2 linked regions of the Drosophila melanogaster genome follow. The protein of the gene in region 1 interacts with the protein of each later gene in a pairwise test. Each region holds a gene or a part of one and is shown on either strand. Other genes may lie near its edges.

Evidence for each region.
Region 2: the proteins of tn (region 1) and mib2 interact in a two-hybrid assay, tested with the Drosophila melanogaster proteins (one study listed by BioGRID).

Annotation. Positions count from the first base shown.
Region 1 is NT_033778.4:18,983,899-18,993,619, reverse strand, and holds the start of tn (thin), read right to left. Parts: upstream 6,277-9,721; 5' UTR 5,929-6,276; intron 4,237-5,928; exon of another isoform or gene 3,932-4,236; intron 3,845-3,931; 5' UTR 3,754-3,844; intron 2,584-3,753; exon of another isoform or gene 2,287-2,583; intron 1-2,286.
Region 2 is NT_033779.5:19,032,712-19,045,445, forward strand, and holds mib2 (mind bomb 2), read left to right. Parts: upstream 1-1,745; 5' UTR 1,746-2,289; intron 2,290-2,788; exon of another isoform or gene 2,789-2,986; intron 2,987-3,049; 5' UTR 3,050-3,087; coding exon 3,088-3,154; intron 3,155-5,092; coding exon 5,093-5,260; intron 5,261-5,373; coding exon 5,374-6,043; intron 6,044-6,104; coding exon 6,105-6,267; intron 6,268-6,329; coding exon 6,330-8,411; 3' UTR 8,412-8,830; downstream 8,831-12,734. Other genes in the region: hook, read right to left, coding at 1-497, 553-669; CG31800 (uncharacterized protein), read right to left, coding at 1,028-1,219, 1,278-1,439, 1,494-1,651, 1,709-1,745; Catsup (catecholamines up), read left to right, coding at 9,235-9,613, 9,669-10,639; Ttc19 (tetratricopeptide repeat domain 19), read right to left, coding at 10,909-11,172, 11,225-11,372, 11,443-11,606, 11,659-12,192.

The sequences.
Region 1 (9,721 bases):
ACCCAAATGTCATACAATAAATTGACCATTTCGTTGTCGTAAGTCGCGAGCCGGCTTCATTTGGCCCGGGTAAATACACTAAGCCACAAATCTGCTTATGGCTGCTTCATTAAAAGCGGATCTGACAAGTTTATTTAGACGAAACCGAGATGCTCAACAGTATCAGATGTTTGCCATCCCTCCCATGTTTTGCCCTCATCAGCAAATGAAAAGCGAGGAAAGCGACGCTCGCAGATGAAAATTCTCTATACGTTGTGTATCCCCAATTTCGCTGCACATGACTTTTGACTTCCTTTGAATGTCAGTCAACATTTTCACCAATTAATGATAAGTATTTACGTTTAAATGACTTTAGGAATTTGTCGAATGAGTTGTGTAATTAGGTAATTGCATATATTAAACCCTTTTAACATTTCCGATTCTCAATGCTAAACGCGCAGCATGATTCACTCTTCAACAAATACCAACAAATATTTGCATTAAACGTTTCACTTTTATGATGTTTACCATATCCATGAAAATAAAAATGCGAACTGTATAAATCAGCTGATAAATATTCATTTCTTTGGCATATTTGAATTCCCTGTTCGTTTTATATCGTTGAATAAATATGACTTTTTTTGTAAATAAAACCCATGTTTGGTTATTTGTATTCAAAAGAGGCTTGAATATTTGAAATAATTCGAATGAAATTGATTGATTTTAAGTAGGGATATGTTTAAGACAAACCATCATCAGCACTCGTAAGAAACTTATGTTTAATAGTCCATCTGATTGACATATAATTCATCAAGTAATCGACCACAAGCAAGCAGCACATATTCCGAGTAAATTTGTGTGTGTGGCAATAAATCATATATTTAAATCAGCTTCCATTGCACAATTTCATAAGCTACTTGCAACATTTTTTCAGCACTCTGCAATAGCTTTCTCACATTTGGAAAAGGGATCATTGCTGGCCGCAGTTGAGATTTTAATAATAAAAATGACACACATTTCGTATTAAGAGGGAAGAAAAGCAGGCAGCAGCCGCGTATATGAAGTATAGTATAAATATAAATACGATTTCGCCGTTGCTGGCAATATGCATCGCGTATACGCCGCGTGTGTCGCGCACAAAAACGCGCACCAATGCGCACTTCCTGCTCGTAAATAAACTGAGAGTGTGGGCGGATGAGGATATAGCCATGGAATCGGTACCGTGATGTCCATGATGCCCACCGCTAATTGTCGTGCGCCTGTTTGCCATTATTGTCGTGTTTGGCTCGGTTTGGTTTCGGATATTTAAAGCATCCATTTAATGCGGCCAAAAGTTCACAATGAAGCTATCGCAAAAAGTGGATATATGTATGAGCTTATGGACATATGCGAACAAAGTGCAATTAACTGGAAAATGCGCTTAAAATCAAATTGAATAGAAATTCTGTCGTTCTCGCAAATTGTGCGTGGTAAATAAAGGCAAAACTGGTGGTCCTATTAGAAAGTGTAGGTCCTTTTTCTGGTTTCGAGCGAAGTGCACTGTGTGTGTGTGTGTGTGTGTGTGTGGCGAAACTAATTTAGCCATTGCATTTGTGAATCGCTGCTGAAAGGATTAAAATGAATAGCGAACGCTGCTCGCCAGCATAATGAAAGCCACCAGAAGGCGGCATAACTACCAAAATCCAACCACCCCGTTTTACATTTTCATTTAAAGGGTGGGTAGGTCATTCAGCTGGGTCCGTTAATACATATATACACTTATACGCATACATATTTATGTGTATATATAGTGGTGAATGCATTCGCGGGCTGTGTGAGCGATTTTCAGAAATACCAAACCAATTATCCGTGAAAATGTTAAATGCTCTTGAAGCTGAAATCTGTGTTTTCTGGTTTCCTTTGAATTTCCCCACGGCTCTTTGCTTTCATTCAAACGCCAAATTGACGGCGACAGTTGTTCAATGTTTTGTTTACAGAAAAAAGAGCACGAGAAAATCATTAACCTTGGCGGGGGTTAAAATTAAGTCGAGTTATGCGGCAGGAAACAGTAAATGGCGAACGGGAAACGGAAACGAATCACTTGACCCTGGGAGAGTTTTTTGCCAAATGTGAAAAACTAAAATGGGTCAAACTTTTCGCGCTGCTGACAGTTGGTGACAGAAAATCATCAACGCAAAGCACTGAAAATTGAAATCAACACAACTAAATTGAAATGAATTCGATGAAATTTGGGTCAGCCAAAACTGAGCAGAAATCACCAACCAAAAAAAAAAAAAATTGAAATACATAGAAACCTCACCAACTTACCAATTGAAATGGGAAACTATTTGGCAATCCTTGCTGTTGCTGTCAAAGCGGCACTCGAAGGCAATCATAAAATGCAATTGGTTTTGGCAATGCGAGAATCCTTATAATTCAGTCCTTTTCAACTCGTTTTTGGGCACTTTCATTTAATGAGTACAATCGATTTCCGTTCGCCTTACTTTAATTTCAATATATCTAATTCGGTACGGTGTCGTTTAGATTTTTTTCTTATATTTTTTTTCAGTTTTTGCTGGGCAACACGCCTAGTAGAATTCGATTGGAAATGTAAAAAGCGACTGATGGCAAGTGAAAATTGCCAAGCACACGAGCTGAGCAACAGTCTACAATATTTTAAATATATATACAATCCGCGGCATTCTCTCCCGATTTCGCTGTGTATCTGCAGATATATACCGTCTATATATCGCCAGAGAGCGAAACAAAACAAAATGCGCGATCGTCAGACACAAACGCAAAAATATATTCTTGGCATCGTGCGTATGTATCTTTATCTACAGTTTGGCTGCAGCGCCATTAATAAGATACAAAGATACAAATGAGTACTTCGCACTGCATGTTACTTCCAAATGGAGTTCCCATTTCTCGCCTCGAACCTGGACATCGGCTACTTATTGGATTAACCGAAAAGATTTTCCTCCATTTAGTACGAATACATGCACGCACACTCTTGACGTCATCAACTGAGCTGATTTTCTCATTCGGACGCACGCCGGCATTTTCCATCTATATCTCATTGCTGGGCTATTTGTGTGCTTTTGTGTATCTCGCTGTAACGGGCCCTAAAAATAAATTTCATTGAAAATTGGAGCGAACATCGCTCGAATTCGCTGTTCCGTCAAACTAGTGGAACATTTCTCTGTGCCAAGTGAAAAGTTTCTACTTCCATTAGAAGTTTTCCCTTAACTTAAGTAGCAGTAAACCATTAGTTTGCTGCAATACGAACTAAAATTTCATATTCCATTCAAAAAGTTGTCCCTAAAAGTTACAATTAAGCTTTTTCTCAAACATGTTCAAAATATCTATCTGTATCTATTAACTACATATAATTGCATTCGGTAAGTAAGTAGGTTAAGTTCCCTACACAAACATTTGTTACTTTTACCAAAATAATTCTATCCAGTTTCGCAGTTTTTTTTTCTGTGCATGCTTCTCAAGGTCAGAACTTCGCTCCTCTAGCTCTGTATATATCATTCTATCTCCCTATGGGAATATGCCGAAAATAGAACTCACTAGCCCGGAATTCACAGACTGCAGTCTGCACTCCTAGGCCAAAAAGAAAAACAAATAAAGAAATGAAAACTGCACTGTATTTTTGGGCTATAAATAAACGGAGCAGACGGGAGAAGCAGATGCAATCGAAACTTTTTGAAATTTTAGCTGCACTCCCAAAGGAATACTATAGAAACTACAAAGTATTGTGACGTTCCAATTTCAGCGGTGATAACTTACGTTTCCAAGTGTTGTTTTCTTCTTATTGTCTACTTGGGTATCCGAGGCGCCCTTGAAAGGGGCCTGTTCCTTTGGCTGTTAACTCTGCTGGCTGAAATTAAAAAGAAAATATATTAAATTTAGAGCCAAAGGCAATTGTGAGTGAATTGTGGGGAGTGAGGGTCGAGTAGCCATTTACCTGGCCATTAACACGCTGCGCATAAGCCGCATCATGCCAACTTAATTATACGGCCTCAAAGGCTGCGGCACGCAAAACAATGATGAAGGCGGGTGGTGAAAGTTGGAATTCATTGGATGGCATGGGATTGGATGGGATTGGATAGTATTGAATGGGATTCGATTGGGCGCGGTTGACAGTCGAAGATAATGAAGTTCGGAATGCGCTTAAGGTTCGCTTATTGTGCACTGCGACAGATAAGCTCCTCGGTGGGCCACACACTCTTGACCAGGTTAATGAATAATCAGCTGGGGTCGAGCATATGGCTGCGAAGGTAGATCTTTTTAATTAACTTGCCGTGGCCGAGTTCCTTTCGACCAAAGGAAACAATTAAACAATGGAAAACCAATTTCCGAAACTATAATAACATGATTACATCGGCGGTCTTTTGAGCATCGAACGCGTAAAGGGAATTTAATAGAAATTAATTGTTCACACAATTGCATTGATATCCCTTATAATTAATTTTCTTTAATGAGCACAATTCGGAGCTTCATTGCGTTACTAAAATGATACAGTAAAATGTGGCATGAAAAATTATACATCAATTCATACATTTTATGATGATTTCGTTTTTAGTATTATTGCAGATTGGTTTTATTTGCAATCACTAAGCTTTTGAATATAGCAATATTTAAACATAATACAGATTTCAGCAACCAACAAGTTGACTTAAAACAAGTGACTTAAAAACTTCAATAGCTCGGAAACATTTGGAATATTTTTCCATATTAGATTTTGGTAATATAAATGCTATTTGTCTGTTGAAACAAAAACTTTTCAACAAAAAGGTGTACAACTTTATGTAGTTTTTAAAATACCTTTAAATGAATGGATAAAGAAAATGAGACAACACTAAGAAATCATAAGCAATACATTTACTTTAAAGTTGCCAACGCGCTACTTTCGAGCAGTTTTTAATTTAAGTTGCAAAAGTGGCCAGTAAATTCGAATCAAAACTAGTTTAGGTGGATATCTATTGCCAGCGTGCTGCAATGGCACTTCTTTAATGCTGCCAGCGACCTTGAACTTCCGCCCAGCTGAAGCACACTCGAAAAGAGCGGAGGAGGGATGGGGTTGGAGGGCAGATGAAGTGAATTGAAAAGAGGCGAGTGCTCGCAATAAAGCTAAAAGGAAAACTGGAAAAAACTGTTGCCTACTTTCCGGCGGCACATAAATTTAAACCGCACACGCCTCTCTCACTTAATCTTCCGTATTATTTTTATTTTTATATTTCGAAACGAGAAATTAATTGTTTTGTGTGAGAGGTGTGAATATAAAAATAAATACGAGAAAGCCCACCACAAACATTCCAAATGGATGGCGAGAATGGGAGAAGGAACAAGCAAAAGCAAAACCGAAACCGAAACAAAAGCAAACAAAGCAATCAATGATAAGCGAGCAGCGGGCAAAAGACAAACACAAACAACAGAAATGGAAATAGAAAATCTCTGAAAATGTCGCTGATTGAATCGAACTAAAAATAAGGCAGCAACACGGCGTATGAGCAATGTGCGTCTCTGTGTGCGTGCCTGTGTGTGTGAGTGTGGGCAAATTATTGCCATGCTTTCTGATGAGATATGCACACACACACACACACACACACACACGTAATATAGCGTATAACAGATCCTCATCAACATATATTTGTATACATGATTATGTCAAAATTTGTTAATAAATTTTGAACGCGAAGCCGAAGGAGATGAAAATAATTTTGACAGCTTTTCACGAATGTGGGAGTGTGCACACGGTGGGATGTTGAGAAAGCGCAATTTTCAGCCAGGTGACATTTTCCCAAGCTCCTTCTCTCGCCGAGATTCTCACGCCTTTCGCCGTTTTCTCTCTTCTTTTTTTTACATAATCAGCAGCCATTGAATGCGTCGAGCTCATCTCCATTTGAATGCGTTTCCAAAAACGAGCTTAAAATCAGGACGTATCCACCCCGTTCGACTCACTTGCGTTGGCTTCCTCTATTTCCTGATGCTTCGCGAAACTTTTGCAAATTTATTCGCATGCCTTGGCGGCACAAGGACTTTCACTGACTTCACTTTCAAACTGAGGTACGATGTATTACCGCCTTGGCTCAAACCAACACTCGCGTCGCGATTACTGGTGCTTTTGGACGCACCCTCACGCACTGCGCGACAGGTGAAAGATCTTTGGGTAGATCTTTGCACCCCTCTATATACACTTAATAGATATATATATATGGATATAGGTGGTTGGGAATCGAACTGGGCTATAGCTATTATCGGCGTATCGGTCCGCACGTCCACTCGCGAGCGTGCCAGAAATGAAAATGAATGTTTTTCTCTGCTCGACTCTCGAACGCTTGATGATCAGCCGTTCTTGAGGTGAAATTTTATAAATATAACCTGAGGCAACAACAAAAGTGCCACAAATATTTCTGCGTCTTCTTCCCACTTTCACGTAGCACTTTTGTTGTTTCCCAGCTTCACCCGACCCCAACGAACCTGTGCAAGAATTATATACATATATACATATAATATAATATATGTACCATAATTGTCTGTAAGAATTCCTCTCGCTTTTTACAATGTCGCGCAGAAAGTCCAAGAGCGACAATATATTGTTCAATACGTATTCTTACCTGTTATTGTTCTGGCTTATTTCGCAGTTATTAGAGTGAGATTTTCACTTTTCTTTAGTCCAGCGGAAAGAAAAGCTGAGGAAAAGATCGACGCCCACGCATTTATCTGGCAGAATGATTCATTTTCGAATTTTTTTAAATATTTATAGAAATATTGATACTTATATAGAATAAGGAAATTGATGTCTTAGCAAATATCGCGCGAGTTTTATGTAGTTATAGAATTCAGCATAATTAAAAGTGTTAACAGAAAGACAAATGATTTAGAGATAGGTAGGTTTTTTACTCTAGACATCATAATAAAATATATACGCTTAAGATTTGTCATTGAATTATTAATATTTATTTCATCTTAATTTATTAAGTTCTGTTTCTAAGCACTTGTTTACGTAATATATATTAATAATATGCCTAAGAAGATCAACATTTGTTACTATGTTGTCTTAAATCATTTAGTTCTTTAATATTACTTATTTTTCGCTTATTATTCTATAAATACCAAATTCCTCTCCGTCATCACATGCAGTATGATTGGTCTGCATTTAGCCATCCTCGCCAGACATTCGGTCTTTTGTTCGGTCATTTGCTTGTCCCACATGACATCTTGTCAATAGGCTGATGAATCGGGTTAGCCGTTAATATATTTTCGGAAAAAATAGCGAGCTAAAACAAAGCCGCAGCCGCAGTCAAAACAAAAACAAACCGAAAAAATGCGAATTATGAGCGGGCCAAAACAAAGATGTCAACACGTTCGCCAAGGCAGCTCAAGTTGTTGACGGACTCTAGGTCAGTCCCACTGACAACGCCATAGCCACAGCTATATCCTCTATTACACGCTGAGAAAAAGTTACTAAAATGGTAACCAAATGTATTTTTTGAATATATATAACATACATAATTAGGTTTCGAACAGCATCTCTTCATCAATATAATATTTTGATGTCACTAATAAAAAGTTAAAGTGTGTGCCCCTCCTATTCGATGCTGATATAACGAAAATTATTAATTAACGATGTTCCTTTGAAAGTAATTAATTTATCAAACTGCTTTCCAAGAATTAACTAAGGATTCGTATATTTTCCATGTGCATGAGAATCACCGCTGGATTTGTGCGCAGTTGCTGGTTCTCGTGAAATTGAAATTGCGTATTGCGGACATTGCATTGTGAACACTGCAACAAGGCTATCGGAACGGCGACAATTGTATAGCACGAGTTAAGACCCATTTCCATTAGCGGAGCGTCCGAAATAGTGGCATCTATTCATTCCCAGCATATTTGAGAGCAACTCATTAGGCCCGAGCCATGATTAATTAGAACTGATGGATGGCCAATTGACGAATGGAAGGCATGGCTGCGGCGATGCGAGCCAGGAGCCAGCAGCCAGGACGCATTATTGATGGACACGTATGCTGGGAATCCGGAACCTCCAGTGAAAGCCACTCGACCAGGGGACACTTGGCATTGCCAGCCAGCGCCTCGTCCTAATTGCCCAAGAAAGGGCAGCCAATTCAGTCAACGCAGGAGCAACATGGTAAAGTAGCAATAATTACGAATTAGCAGACAATTTCAAGTATTAGCCAAGTCCAACTTACTAAGAGGGTGGTCGCAAAAGTTGCTAGTTGATTGGTATTTTACAGCAAAGTTTAATTGAAATCGGCCAGGGATTATGGCCCTGAAAATAAGCTTAGTTCAAGGGCTTTTGAAGTAAGCTAATCCATTTTGTTTTACAAAGAAAATAGCTACCAAGCTTATCTCTTTTCCTTGCAATAAGCTGTATTAAATTGATAAATTTAAAGGAGAGTCAAAAAAATATACCCAATATTGAAATTGATTCTTAAGCTTGAATTCCTGGGGGATTAAAATTTCAATTGAATTATGGAGAGTTAATTTGTGGAAAATCCATTTTCTAGGAATTTAAGCTTTTTTGCCAATGGATTCGCTTTCAGAGAAATCCCTTGTATATGTTTAAACTCGTTATGAACTGCTTAATTTTTCTTTAATTGATGCATATTTTCTATAAACTAAAGCATATTGACATTAAAGCTTTCCGCGAAATAATAATTGATTCAAATTGTTAAGCTTGAATTAGTGTGAAATTTACATTCTGTAAATTTATGCTACATTTTTCCAACCGTTTTCCGCTCAGAAAAATTCCTGTATAATGTTAAACACACATATTTAAACGCTTAAGCTTTAAGGGTACAATTTAATTTAACTATTAAAAATATTCTAGGCATTAAGCTTTTCAAGAATATTTAAAGCCATTTCATTATTTATTTTGCTTCCAACACGTTACTAAAAGATAAAAATTACTAAGTGGTTCCGGATTAAGAAACTGGCTAAGCACACCTCCACAAAGATATGTCCAACAGCAGGGGGCCCCCGAAAACAAACTATTTCCAGTCAGACAAATGGCGTTAAGCACATAATAACCAATTTCTCTAAATACGGCCATAATTATGAACGCCTACACACACTCTTACATCCAAAGAGTCCTGGCAAACACAAACTCACACACTCACACGCGAATGATCCTTGTGAAGTGGCGCTGCTGTTGTTCTTCTTGTTTCTGCCTACTTCATTTGGGCGCGCTTGTTCTCGAGACTCGAGAGTGAAAGTGAGAGCGGGAAAGGGAAAGCGAAAGTGAATGTGAAAGGCATAGGATGGGGTGAAAGTTGGTAAGTGAGAACGGGCAAGGGCAAGGATTTATCGTAATTAGGCATGCATGAGCATATGCTGTCGTCTAAGCTCAAGGATGACTCTCATCCTCCGCGATATTTTGTCGTGCAGTGCAAGAAATTTAATACCAATCGATCTTATATTTCCACAGTTTTAATAACTTATGATTTGAAAAATCTAAGGGACAAAAAAATGTTGTTTTTTTTTATTTTAAAATAGCTGTAGTACTTTTTTTTTTTAGTTTTATGATTTCCTTCATAAATAAGTGTACATGGTTGGCAAAATATTTCCCCCATTCAATGTCACCAATAAATTTTAGATAACTGAATCAATTGTATGCAGTTATTTATGAGTAACAATTATCGCAATTAAACCTTCATACTTAAATTTAATATATGTTTTGTTGCTATAAAGGCTGACTCAATTACAATATAATATGGCCAATTATTTTCCCTCT
Region 2 (12,734 bases), on another chromosome or scaffold:
AGGAGCATTTTCTTTTCCGTCTCGAAGCATTTTTGTGCCAGGGCGTCGCGATCCTCCTGAACTGCCTTGCTGTCCAGGAGTCCTGTGCGAGAGCCACGGGACAAGGAACTGGCTACACCGCCCTCCGGCGTGGATGCTTGCCTAGTGGCCTCAAGTTCCTGAAGGGCGCGCATAATGTTTGCTTGCAGTTCCTCCTCCAGACACATGATCTCTGTGATGTAGGACTGCTTCTCTGCACAGTTCACGGCGCAACCAAGGACCAACTGCAGCAGACGCTCCAGCTCTCCCAAGTCGCACTTCTCAGCGATCCTCTGCAGATCAGGCTTCGAGAAATCACTCAGCGAGTAGTTCAGTACGTCGCTGTAGTAGTCGTACACGGACTGGGTCACCTTTTTAAGATTGCTCATCCGCAATCGCCAGTTGCTGCCCACGGCACTGGCCTTGATCTTGGAAAGCCAAGCGTCGGTGAAGGATTCGGGGGCGAACTGGTTAAGAGCCTGTGAATAAAGGAGCTATTAAATATTGATGAACTATATATGTATATATAGTTACCTGAGCCAGTGCCACTCCGTCAGCTAAGGATTCCGCATCCGCATGCGGGGCATTTAGATTGAGGGTCTTGAACCACTCCAGCAAGCTATAGTACATCTCGTTCTTGGGCGCGGACATGTTGCAGGTGTGAACGAAACGCTAAACGAAACAAAACAAACTAAAAATATGCACAATTTCACAAAAAAAGAGCTCTCAGCTGTTGCACTAAAAACCAAAACATACATCGAACTGCACGACAGCTATCGAAAGCCATTGAGATGCACTTTCTCTATCGATAGAAAATATCGTTATTTATTATTTATCATGTTTACAAAATTAAACAGGAATTAAATATGTATGTTTATAAAAATATAAATGTTAATATTTAAATTAAAATTAATACATTTTACCCTAGAGCTTTTATAATTTTAATATCAGTAACATCGAAGTTTGGGTACAACCTCATGTTAATAAAAATAATTTTTAATATATTCTGTCAATCATTGCTTATATTAAAGTCAATTGCCATGGCCGAACCACGCCCACCATCTAGTGCCTTTAGCATGCACTGCTCCGCCCACTTTAGCTTCTCATCCTGCTCCTTAATCTTGTCCAGTGGGGTCCAGCTCAAATCGTACTCCAACCTGTAGCTGCCTTTGAATGTTTGGTCAACGGAGAGACTCCATTCCTGAAAGTGTACATCCATTAATAATGCGATTTTAGAATTATTTTCAAACAAAACGTACTTCCGGTGATAGCATGCTGAAATAGTTTTGACCCGATGGCCTTTGATAAAGATGATAGATGTGTCCGGGTTTTTTGGTGAAATTGCAGGCCGCACTGTGCAGATCTCGGTTGAGAGTGGACTCCTTAAGTATCTCCATCGCTTGGGCCTGAAGCATTTTGATCTATGAAAGATTTATTAGTTTGTATTATAATTGTTAAAGAGGAGTATAGCTTACCTGCTCCATTATGACCCCCAGCTTTTGGCAAGTTGTGTTTTTCAATTGTTTATCAGCATTCTGAATTTGTTGGGCCAATTCGATGATATCCTCCTCCTGGTGCATGGACACACGCATGGGGTTTATCTGCAACTGGGGATTCCTCTCAACCAGTTGGGCTAAAAAATACAATATTTATTTGTTTACCTCTCAGTAGTTATATCATAGAAGCGTACCCTTTTTTACAGCTGTCTGATACGTCAATTCGTCCATTTCGGCCGCTCTTTTCATCACACGCTACCGAACATGAATACAAATAAGTAATCACTCCGCGATTGACAACTATGTAAATTTATGGACTGCCAAAAATAAAATAATAACATGTGTTCTTTATAGCTGGTATATCTCCTCCAGTCATCGTTTTCCCTAGGTGTTATCGATCACTATCGAATAGATGTCATATTGCACGGCCGTCTCTAGATAGAAAGAAGAAGCACACTAAATTGTAGTTTTATTTAATAGTTCTAGCGAAATAGTGAATTTTGGCCATTTAACTAAAAAATTGTAATGTCCAGGCGAAATTGACCATAAGTGCGGTATCTGTGTGTTAAATAGTGCGGAAATTAGATCGCGTGCGAGTGAACTATGCCCTTTTTGGCAACCAGAGCAACGGTGTCACTGCATTTTAGCGAAAGGAAACACTAAATGCCCATTAAAAAGCGCACGCGCGTATAAAATGCACCATTAAAGGCTTGAGAACTTTAAGTTTTTCATTGCGAACAGCTGGAGCTAAGCGACAGTATCACAAATTGCATTGGTAAGCCCAAAAAAAAATCCAAACCAAGCCCCCAATAATCGCTTTTCACATACTCAATTTTGCATAAGTATATATTTGTAAAATATATACACATACGTATATATATGTGTGCGATGGCAAAACGGGCGTGAGTGTGAGTGTGTGCTTGGACTTTCGTAAACAACACATGCGGGTCGATTCCTTGAATGACTTCGCTGCTTGACCAAGAAGTCACAGGCACTTGGCTTTTGTCAGCGGGACGATGAGAAATCCGTATCGAAATTGAAATCGGAGGTTCAGACGGTGCATATATACATATATCCGTCTTATCGGCATGCGTCATGCGAGCTTCTGGGCTGCACCCACACCACAAAACCTCGGACTGCCAGAAACCGAAGCGCTGGCGATCGGGAAACATATCTGGCATTTGAATGGCATTTCCTCCCCCGACACCCCATAAATGATGCGAAGGGTTAACAAAGAAATCTCAAGAGTTTTAATACAGAAATCTCTAGAAAATTTTAATTCTGCTTAAGTATTTTGTGAAGAGTACAATTTCTTGCTTAGAATTAAGCCACTGCAATGTTTTAAAACATGCTCATAGAGACCCTTCCATGCTTGAGCCTACAAAGACTTCTGAGATGACCCCGATATGCTCCTCTCCTTTTGAGTCATGCGCTGACGGGGCCGCCATTTAGTTGACCCAATTATCAGCCAGGTCCCATCAAACGCCGTGCCCCGAGTATTGTCAAATGTCACATTTATGCTATCCTCCTTGCAGGCTGAATCGGATTACACAAATTGAGCCAACCAAACGCCATGCGAGCCTCCATTCCGCCCGGCATTCGAGTGGTGCGCGGACCCAACTGGATCTGGTCGAATCAAGGTAAGAACGCATTCAGGCAGCCACGGGCCAGCTTGTTTACTTTCACCCACCTCCAAAGAGGCGAATTAACTTGCCATCCGCTCTCTGTTTATAGATACGGGTGTTTTTGTTATATAGTTCAGATCGAAATTTGCGTACGGTAGAGATTAGGCGGTGGGGATGTCGCCAACTTAGGCATTCAATTTCGGTAAAACCCATACTTAGTCATACGTTCTCCGATTAAAAGGGCTTTACAATGGGATTATTACTTCTGTTTAAACTCCAATATCTGTCCTTAAAAAAAATCATGTTTATAATTTATTAAGCTGATTTTATCCGCATATTTTGGATTTGATAGCGTAATAATAATAAGCAATATCTTAAATAAACATTTTTATACCTCTTACGATCGATCAATATTTGATCAAATTTAATCTACTGATACTTTAATTTTTGTTATAATATGTATGTAGAAAAGACATGATAAATAATGAATATATGGCATAAAGGGAATCACTTCGTGGCCAATACTTACTGTATACGCCAAACGCAACTCACTTGGCATTGGCACCCGTAGAGGGTCCGTTGAGAGTGTGCGAGTGCGGAGGGGTGTGGGGCAATGGGACGGGATGGGACGGAGAGGTGTACGTCCGTGTCCGCTGCTGCTGCTCGGGGCGTTGTTGAATGTAAAGAGGACGCGCCCGCTATTTTTAGCAACACTCACTGCGGCAGCAGTGAAATTCTTGCGCTTACCAATTGCTTCTGCTTTCGTCGCTTCGTTTTATGGTTCATATACATACATATGTACATATATATGGCGGGGATGTGTGGCTCTCGATGGTACGTACATATATAGTACGCCACCCTACGTGGCAGGTAAATACATATGCACATACATACGTCCGTAGGCAGCTGCCCGCCAAACAATAATATTGCGTAGTTTTTAATTGAATTAATTGTCTTTCGCTGGAACAAATTCGTAACGTATTACAAACAATTAGATGATGAGGCTTATATCGTTTCGAAAGCTTGATAAACCGACTGTATTATATGTGCCATGAAAAGAGATTAGAACTCAAAACCTCAAAAATGAAAGGAATGTAGAACACTATAATTTTCAATTACATTTTGATAGTTGCAAATGAATATTACCAAGAGAGAACATTTCTTCAGATACACTTCAAAAACAATTTGAATCATTTTGTGGAAGTTAAACCAATCACCAAAGCCTAATTTGATAATAAACGCAGTAATGTTTAAGCCTATTGAAGGATCCTATTAAAGCAGCTGCACACGTTTAGGATTAGGTCATGGTATGTGTTCCCCCCTCCCCAAGTCGCCCTATTCCAGCCTGTGCAGCGAATGCATATGCACATGTCAGGCGCTAGGGCGCGTGCCATTTTGTCTCCAACCTTTTTTTGAGTGTTTATTTTTAGTTACACGGGTGGGGATCGCGAGCAGTTACACAGCTCCAGCCGGCCTGATATTTGGGGACGATGTGGAGAGTTTATTTTTGGACCTTGGTATTCCTCCGACTGGGGTGTGTTGAAAATAGACATAAACAAATTTTCAGATGGGAGCCCAGCCATCGGTGCTCCCATTCCTCCCCAGGCCAACATCAAATGTCACCCTCTAGAGAACGATTCCACATCCACACCCGTGATACGGGGTAATTATAGAGCAGCTGCACGCCCGAGTCCGAGTGCATAACAAAAATCCGCTTGGAGCCCGAGCCCGAGTCAATGATTATGGGTATTTATAGTCACGGCGCGTTGTTTATGAGGGGGAAGTGTGCGCTCTGCATATGTCTGATATCCACCGGATGTGGATGTGGGGATGGTGATGCCGATGTACACACAATGCAGCCCTAGGAGCATCCTTGTGGCAGCTCTATAGCTCTATAGCTTCTCCAACTCACATCACGTCACTCTCGACTTTGTTTCATTGCTTACGCAACAGACGACGGAGAAGGTCACGTTGGAACCGTTTGCGAAATCGGACGTTGCGGATCGACACATTCGCCAGAAAACACTGTCGTGGTCAACTGGGATTCCGGACACCGGACCAACTACCGTGTGGGCTACCAAAACCAGTACGACTTGATAATTGTAGATAATGCTCAAGTTGGTAAGTGACGATATTTAAGAAATCTATTCAATTAGTTAATTTTAATTTTCCAAATTACAATTATTTATAGTTCATTGTTTATAAGGTCTTATATTCGAATTCTTTTTTCGCAGGAGTTCGTCACTCAAATGTTGTCTGCGATGGCTGTTCCAAGGCGGGTATCGCTGGCATAGTATTCAAGTGCGCCCAGTGTCCCAACTATCACCTATGCGCCTATTGCTACGCAGAGGATCTGCACGATATTGAGCACCCGTTTATCCGCTACACGACTCCCAACTCGCTGGGCGTGAGATTGCCCATGAGAAAAGGTGCCAAGCGCATCCAGCTGCGAGGCATCTTTGTGGGTTCCAAAGTAGTGCGCGGTCCTGACTGGGAGTGGAACGAACAGGACGGCGGAGAAGGCAGGACGGGTCGGGTAATGGAAATCCGAGGCTGGGACAACGAATCGTGTCGCAGCGTGGCCAACGTAGCGTGGGTAACCGGATCGACGAACGTCTACCGTCTAGGTCACAAGGGAAACGTTGACCTCAAGTACATTACTGCCACGTGCGGTGGTCACTACTATAAGGACCACATGCCTGTTCTAGGTCAGACAGAGGAGTTGCAGCCGGTGGCGCCCATGGTGAAGCCAAGCTTTTCCGTGGGCGACCGCGTCAAGGTTTGCCTAGAGGTTGACGCCCTAATGAAATTGCAGCAGGGCCATGGCGGATGGAATCCGCGCATGGTCGAGCATTTGTCCAAACTGGGCACAGTACACCGCATCACGGACAAGGGGGATATACGGTGAGAATATATAATTTGGTTGATTTTATTTGGATTTCTAACACAGTCGAAACCCAAACAGTGTTCAGTATGAAAACTGTCCCAATCGATGGACCTTTCATCCCGCCGCACTCGTTAAGGTTGTCTCTTTTCGTGTCGGTGACCTGGTCACCATCATCAACGATGCCAACAAAGTGCAGCAGCTGCAGAAGGGTCACGGCGAATGGATAGAAATCATGCGACACGTGAGTATTCAGATTATGTTAAATCTTTTTTGAGAGTATTCTTTAAAAAAAATGTTTTTCAGGCCCTTGGAAAAATTTGCAAGGTAGTGAAGGTGTACTCGGACGGTGACCTCCGCATCCAGCAGTTGGACGACGGCTTCGAGTGGACCCTGAATCCGAAATGTGTCAAACTAGAGCGTTCTCCTTTGGCAACAGCAGCTGAGCGCTCTAACAGTATGATGGACCTAAGCCACCGACGCGCTGACCATGTAATGACACCGCTCTCTGGCCTCTCCGGTAGTTCGGTTGCCGACAAGCTGGTGCGCGAGGCTGCCCAGGGCCATTTGGATTTCGTGCGGCAGTACCTGGACGTGAATCCCAGCCAGGTGGATGTGATGAGTGGCGGCAAGGCTTGTATTCAGGTGGCCTCTCATCAGGGCTACGTCGATCTTGTCAGCTACCTCATCTCCAAGGGTGCCAACGTGAATGCGGTCGACAAGGAAGGTGATTCAGCTCTGCACTACGCAGCCTTCGGCAATCAGCCGGCCACCATGAGAGTGCTGCTGCAGCACGGTGCTGAGGTGAACTTCCTAAACTCGAGCCACTGCTCTGCACTGCACATCTGCGCGCACAAGAAAACGCCGCACTGTGTGCGTGAGTTGCTGCAGCACAATGCCAACGTAAACATTCAGGATTCGTACGGGGATACGGCGCTTCACGACGCAATCGGCAAAGAGAATACGGAAGTTGTGGAGTTGCTTTGTAATGCTCCGAATCTGGACTTTACGGTTAAGAATAATCGCGGCTTTAACGTGCTACACCATGCAGCGCTTAAAGGAAACGTGGTAGCTGCTCGCCGTATCCTGTTGCTCTCCCGCCAGCTGGTCAATGTGCGCAAAGACGATGGCTTTGCGGCTCTTCATTTGGCAGCCCTTAACGGTCATGCCCAGGTTGTGGAAACGCTGGTCACTGAGGGCCAAGCGGAGTTAGATATACGCAATAATCGCCAACAGACGCCGTTCCTACTGGCCGTCTCCCAGGGCCATGCCGGGGTAATCGAGCGACTCGTTCGCCTCTCCTGCGACGTGAATGCCAAGGATGAGGATGGCGACAATGCGATGCACTTGTGCGTCATTAAGAAGTCCAATCTGCAGTCGGCCGCGGAGCCTCAGCCAGAGGAGGCTCCTGAGATTCACAAGTTTTACCTGAGTCTAGTACACTCGAGCATTCGTCCTGAGGATCGTTTGATGTACAGTATATTGATCTATCTTTCGAGGGCCGGCTGCCGAGTGGAGCTGAACAACGCCAATGCAAGCATTTTTGAGTGGATAACGGACCGCCACATCAGGCAACTGATTTTTGGGCAGCAGGGCGAAGCTGAATCGCTGCCTAGGAATCTTCAAGCTTTGGAAGTGTCCGCAGGATCAGCCGACGGTGAGGAGAGCTCTGCGTCTGCTGGAGCTGAATCCAATGGAGCCGGACCTGGAAGCGTTGCAGCACCCCCACCACCGCAGCGCCAGACATTTGAACTAATGCCAAAGCCAAACGATATCCCAGCCATTGGAGTTGGAGCATCTCCATCCACGCCCTCCGCCTCGCCGGGCGTAAAGAAACTGAACTCCGACGCAACACCGCAAAACGTCTCTCCACAGGTGGCACCGCGCAAGAAGGCGCCCAAGCCTCCGGTTACCACTAGCTCGAGCAGTACCGCGTTGGAAGCCGGAGCGGCGGGACCCAGTACCAGTCCGGTGATCGTCCCCGGTCCCCATGAGTGCATTGTGTGCAATGAGATCCTGCCGATGGTGCGCTTTGAGCCGTGTCAGCATCAGATCGCCTGCGAGGAGTGCGGCATCCGAATGAAAAAGTGTCTCCGCTGTGCCGTGGCGATCGAGCGGCGATTGACGGTCAGCGGCCGAGTGGTGGCCCTGCCCACGTCCACGTCGTCACCTAGTGACCCCACTCGCCTACCGTCCGGGGATCTACTTCGCTATCTGGAGAACAAAGTGCTGGAGTTTGAGGAGTCGCACTTCTGCGGTATTTGCATGGAGCGAAAAAGGGATGTGGCCTTCCTGTGCGGGCACGGCGCGTGCTCCCATTGTGCCGAAACGCTCCGCACATGCCACATGTGTCGCAAGACAATACTCAAGAAGATCAACCTGTACTGAACGGCGGTAACGGAAACGAAAGAAAAGCAAAGGCGGCAGGATCAGCAGCAATTCAAACAGCAACCAAAGTGGCTTGTATATATACATACACAAAACAAACACACACTCACATTGCCGTGTCATGTGCAAATCGAAATTATTATTTATTGATCACAAACGAAATTTACGAGTTCTTTTTTAATCGGTTCATCATCGGCATCGTCGCAACACGCAACAAATTAATGTGCACCTTCTCGTGTCTAGTTATTAGCCCCGTTTAACCATGTCTGGTAACGATAAATACATAGGAAACTAACTAAAGCATACAAATATTTAATAGTCATTTAAATGCAAATATACAAATATAAAATTATTTAATTGAGTGAATTTCAATCGATGTCGGTGGTTAGCCTACAGAAAATAAAGATACTTTATTTCTGAATATGCTGGGGTGACTTTTAATTGTATTGGTATTTAAAAGGTTTAGTTTAAAATTGAATATATAATAAGTTTAGAAAGATTTTAAAACTGAAATGTTGTAACGGCAAAGTGTGAACAAGTTATTTTCTTTCAGTACGCTGCATAAATTTTAAATGTTTTGCATTTTTGTAAGCATTGACTTGGCAAGCTGTCGGATCTTAAGCTCCGTTTAAAAGTTAATGTAAGCAAAAGCGGCAAAGTACAACTTATAATTGAAAATATACACAAGTTTATTTTTTATTTGAGCGAAACAATCGATACCTCCAGATTTACACGCTAATCGATAACAACGTAGCCAGAAAAAAAGCAAACACGTCACAACACTTTGGCCGCAGTCCGACGCGAAACTAAAGTAAAGGACAAAATGGCCAAACAAGTGGCTGATTACCAGTGCAGTAAGCTCCAGTTGTACCAAAAGCTGGCACTGGTCGTAATCCTGGGAGCAGTGCTTTTCTCGCTCCCGGCGTTGTGCGCCGGCCAGGGCAATCCCAGTTTCAAATACTCGCGGGAAGCCAACGAAAACTTCGATCCGCAGAAGGCTCCACGGGCGGAGCACCATCATCATCATGATCATGACCACGATCATGGACACCACCACCACGGGCACGATCATGATCATGACCACGACCACGGGCATGATCATGGACACCATCATCACGGGCACGATCATGATCATGACCACGACCACGGACACCATCATCACGGGCACGATGAAAGGCACACCAAGGCAAAGCCGGATTTGGGTAATCAACGAACTACCACTCTTAAAATGCCCGAGTTGACCCAAATTTCTTATAGATATGAGCACCATTTGGTTGCACTCGATCGGCTCAACTCTTCTTATCAGTGCCGCTCCCTTCGTGCTGCTGTATATCATTCCCCTAGACAACAGTGAGGCGATGAAGCCGCGTCTCAAAGTGCTTCTGGCCTTTGCTTCTGGCGGTTTGTTGGGTGATGCCTTTCTGCACTTGATTCCTCATGCCACGCATCCACACAGTCATGGAGAACACGGCCACGATCACGGCCATGATCACCATCATCATCATGATGGCGAGGAGCATGAACATGGTCACAGCCACGATATGAGCATTGGTCTGTGGGTCCTTGGAGGAATCATTGCCTTCCTTTCAGTGGAGAAACTGGTACGCATTCTAAAGGGCGGTCATGGAGGACACGGCCACAGCCATGGAGCACCAAAGCCAAAACCAGTGCCTGCTAAGAAAAAGTCCTCTGACAAAGAAGACAGCGGAGATGGAGACAAACCGGCAAAGCCAGCCAAGATCAAGTCCAAGAAACCAGAAGCGGAGCCAGAAGGCGAAGTGGAGATTTCCGGCTACTTGAATTTGGCGGCGGACTTTGCTCACAACTTCACCGATGGCCTGGCCATCGGCGCCTCCTATTTGGCGGGCAACAGCATTGGCATTGTGACCACTATCACTATTCTGCTGCACGAAGTGCCCCATGAGATTGGTGACTTTGCCATTCTTATAAAGTCTGGCTGTTCCAGGCGAAAGGCAATGCTTCTGCAGCTCGTCACAGCGCTCGGAGCTTTGGCGGGCACAGCGCTAGCTCTTCTGGGAGCTGGAGGCGGGGACGGATCGGCCCCATGGGTCTTGCCCTTCACAGCCGGCGGTTTTATTTACATCGCAACAGTGAGTGTCCTGCCGGAGCTGCTTGAGGAGTCTACGAAACTGAAACAGTCGCTGAAGGAAATCTTTGCGCTGCTAACCGGCGTAGCCCTAATGATCGTTATCGCCAAGTTCGAGTAATATCAAAATTGTGGAAAGTTAACACAAAAAAGATCTAATTGCATGTACTGAAAGTGTGCCGCAAACAATTTGAAAGATTTCTGTTCGTTACCTACTCAAAACGATGAGCAACTACTTAAATTTCTTATATTTCAACAGTCAGTAACCGCTATTAGTTCCCAATATAAACAATGCGGCGTTATTTAAGATTTTTTAAGCCTTCCAAATTTGTGCTTCACTTCGAAATGAAATTTTTATAAATAGTCAAAATTACACTGTAAAAAGAATCCTCACTGGCGCTTCTCTCCATTCAGGGTTGTCTTTATCTCGTTGAGACAATACTCGGCCTGCTCTACGGCATCGGGATTCTGGTGTTGCTTTCCCAGTTTCCACGCCAGTCGGCAAGCGTTCTCCGCCTGCGACATCAGGCCCTCGCGAAGATACACCAAACCCAGATTTGCCTGCAGAATGCCTTCCTGGGTGGCATCCTTTAGCTCCTTAGTCAGCTCCATGGCCTCCAAAAGGGTCTCCCTTGCCTCGGCGTACTTTTCCAGCTGTAATTAGTCTAATGTGTTTCAAGTACTTTGGAAGAATAGACGCACCTACGTTTACGTACGCCACACTGATGTTATTTAGGATGGTTACAGAGGCGTCGTTAACGGCACCATAAACATTTATGAGCGTGTCGAAGGCCTCCTTAAAGAGGTTTTTAGCCTCCAGGTATTTTCCCTGCTTCATCAGCAGCTGCCCGAACCTGGAAAATAAACATAAGGAAAAGTATTGAAAAAAGGCTTGGTTAGCGGCAATGGAAACACCTTCAATACCAATTCTTTGTCAAGCCATACAGCTCCAGTATGTCCTTGTCGTCGGGCATTTTCTCCAGTAGCTTAGCCAACTGCTGCAAGGTCCAAGTGAACCCTTGAAAGCTCTTTTCCAGATCCCCTTGCAGCTGAGACATGTGTGCTATCTTGGAGCTGATGTGAAGTATCTAAAGATGAAAGAGATCTTAACTGGTTATGGTGTCTAAGTGGGTCACCCACCTTGGGACTCTCTTCGGTGTGACCCTCGGCAAAAAGCCGTTTCATAACGTCCGTGAATATCTTCTCCGCCTTCTTAAACTGCTCGCGTTCCATGGCCAAATTGGCCATCAGATCAAACACATATGTGATGCCGTCCTTGCTCTGAATATCCTGCGCCATTCGCAGAGCCAGGTGAAGCATTTGCTCGGCCTTGTCGTACTGTTCCCTCTGAATGCACAGGATTGATCGTTTGATGGTCTTGATCAGTTTTTCCTCCGGAGTTTCCTCTTTTTCGTCGGCGCCACCAAACAGATTCAGAGTGAAAGCAGCGGAAAATGCCCAAAACATTCCACCGGAAGAGCCAGAAGCGGGCGGAGCTGCCCAGGACACCTCGTAGCCCGCAGCATTGGAGCACAGCGGTCGACATCCGAATTCTGACCGTTGGTGATAACGGCTTCTCTTCAGCGGCGCAAGATGACAGTAATCTCTGGGATTCACGACAACGCGGAACCTGCCCATAACTTGCGTAAACTTGCAAATATTTCTCACTAACATGTTTAGGGCTTTATTAATTATTTAACTAAAACCTATAATGTTGCAGGTATGGTATTAAAAATTATGAAATAGCACGTATGTAGTGTTGCAAAGCGCGGTAAAGACGTTTTAAAAGTACATTTCGTAACGCTTGATTAAGAACATAGAAGACTTTTAAATAATTTCTACTCTATCATACTTTCGCAAATATATTTATGTTTCGTTAAGATTTCGTAAACAAAGGTTTTTAAATTTTTTAGAGATGACACTGTCAAACAAAACTTTATCGGCAACTTTGGTACCTAACATTTCGTTCATAAGTTAAATCTGCGAACAAAAATAAATTGATAAGTAGAGTTATTAACAATCTCGAATAAAAAACATTTAAGTACATTTGATAAAGTTTTTCGTAATAAGGTACTTCCTTCCCCCATCGCATACGATACTATCGATAGCCGTCAGCGGGGCGATAGACCGAGAGAAAGCATCCCTGTATATTGATGGCGGATTGACGCTCTTTCGCCTAGTAAAATTATTTTTCTTATCAAGAAAAGGTGCAGAAT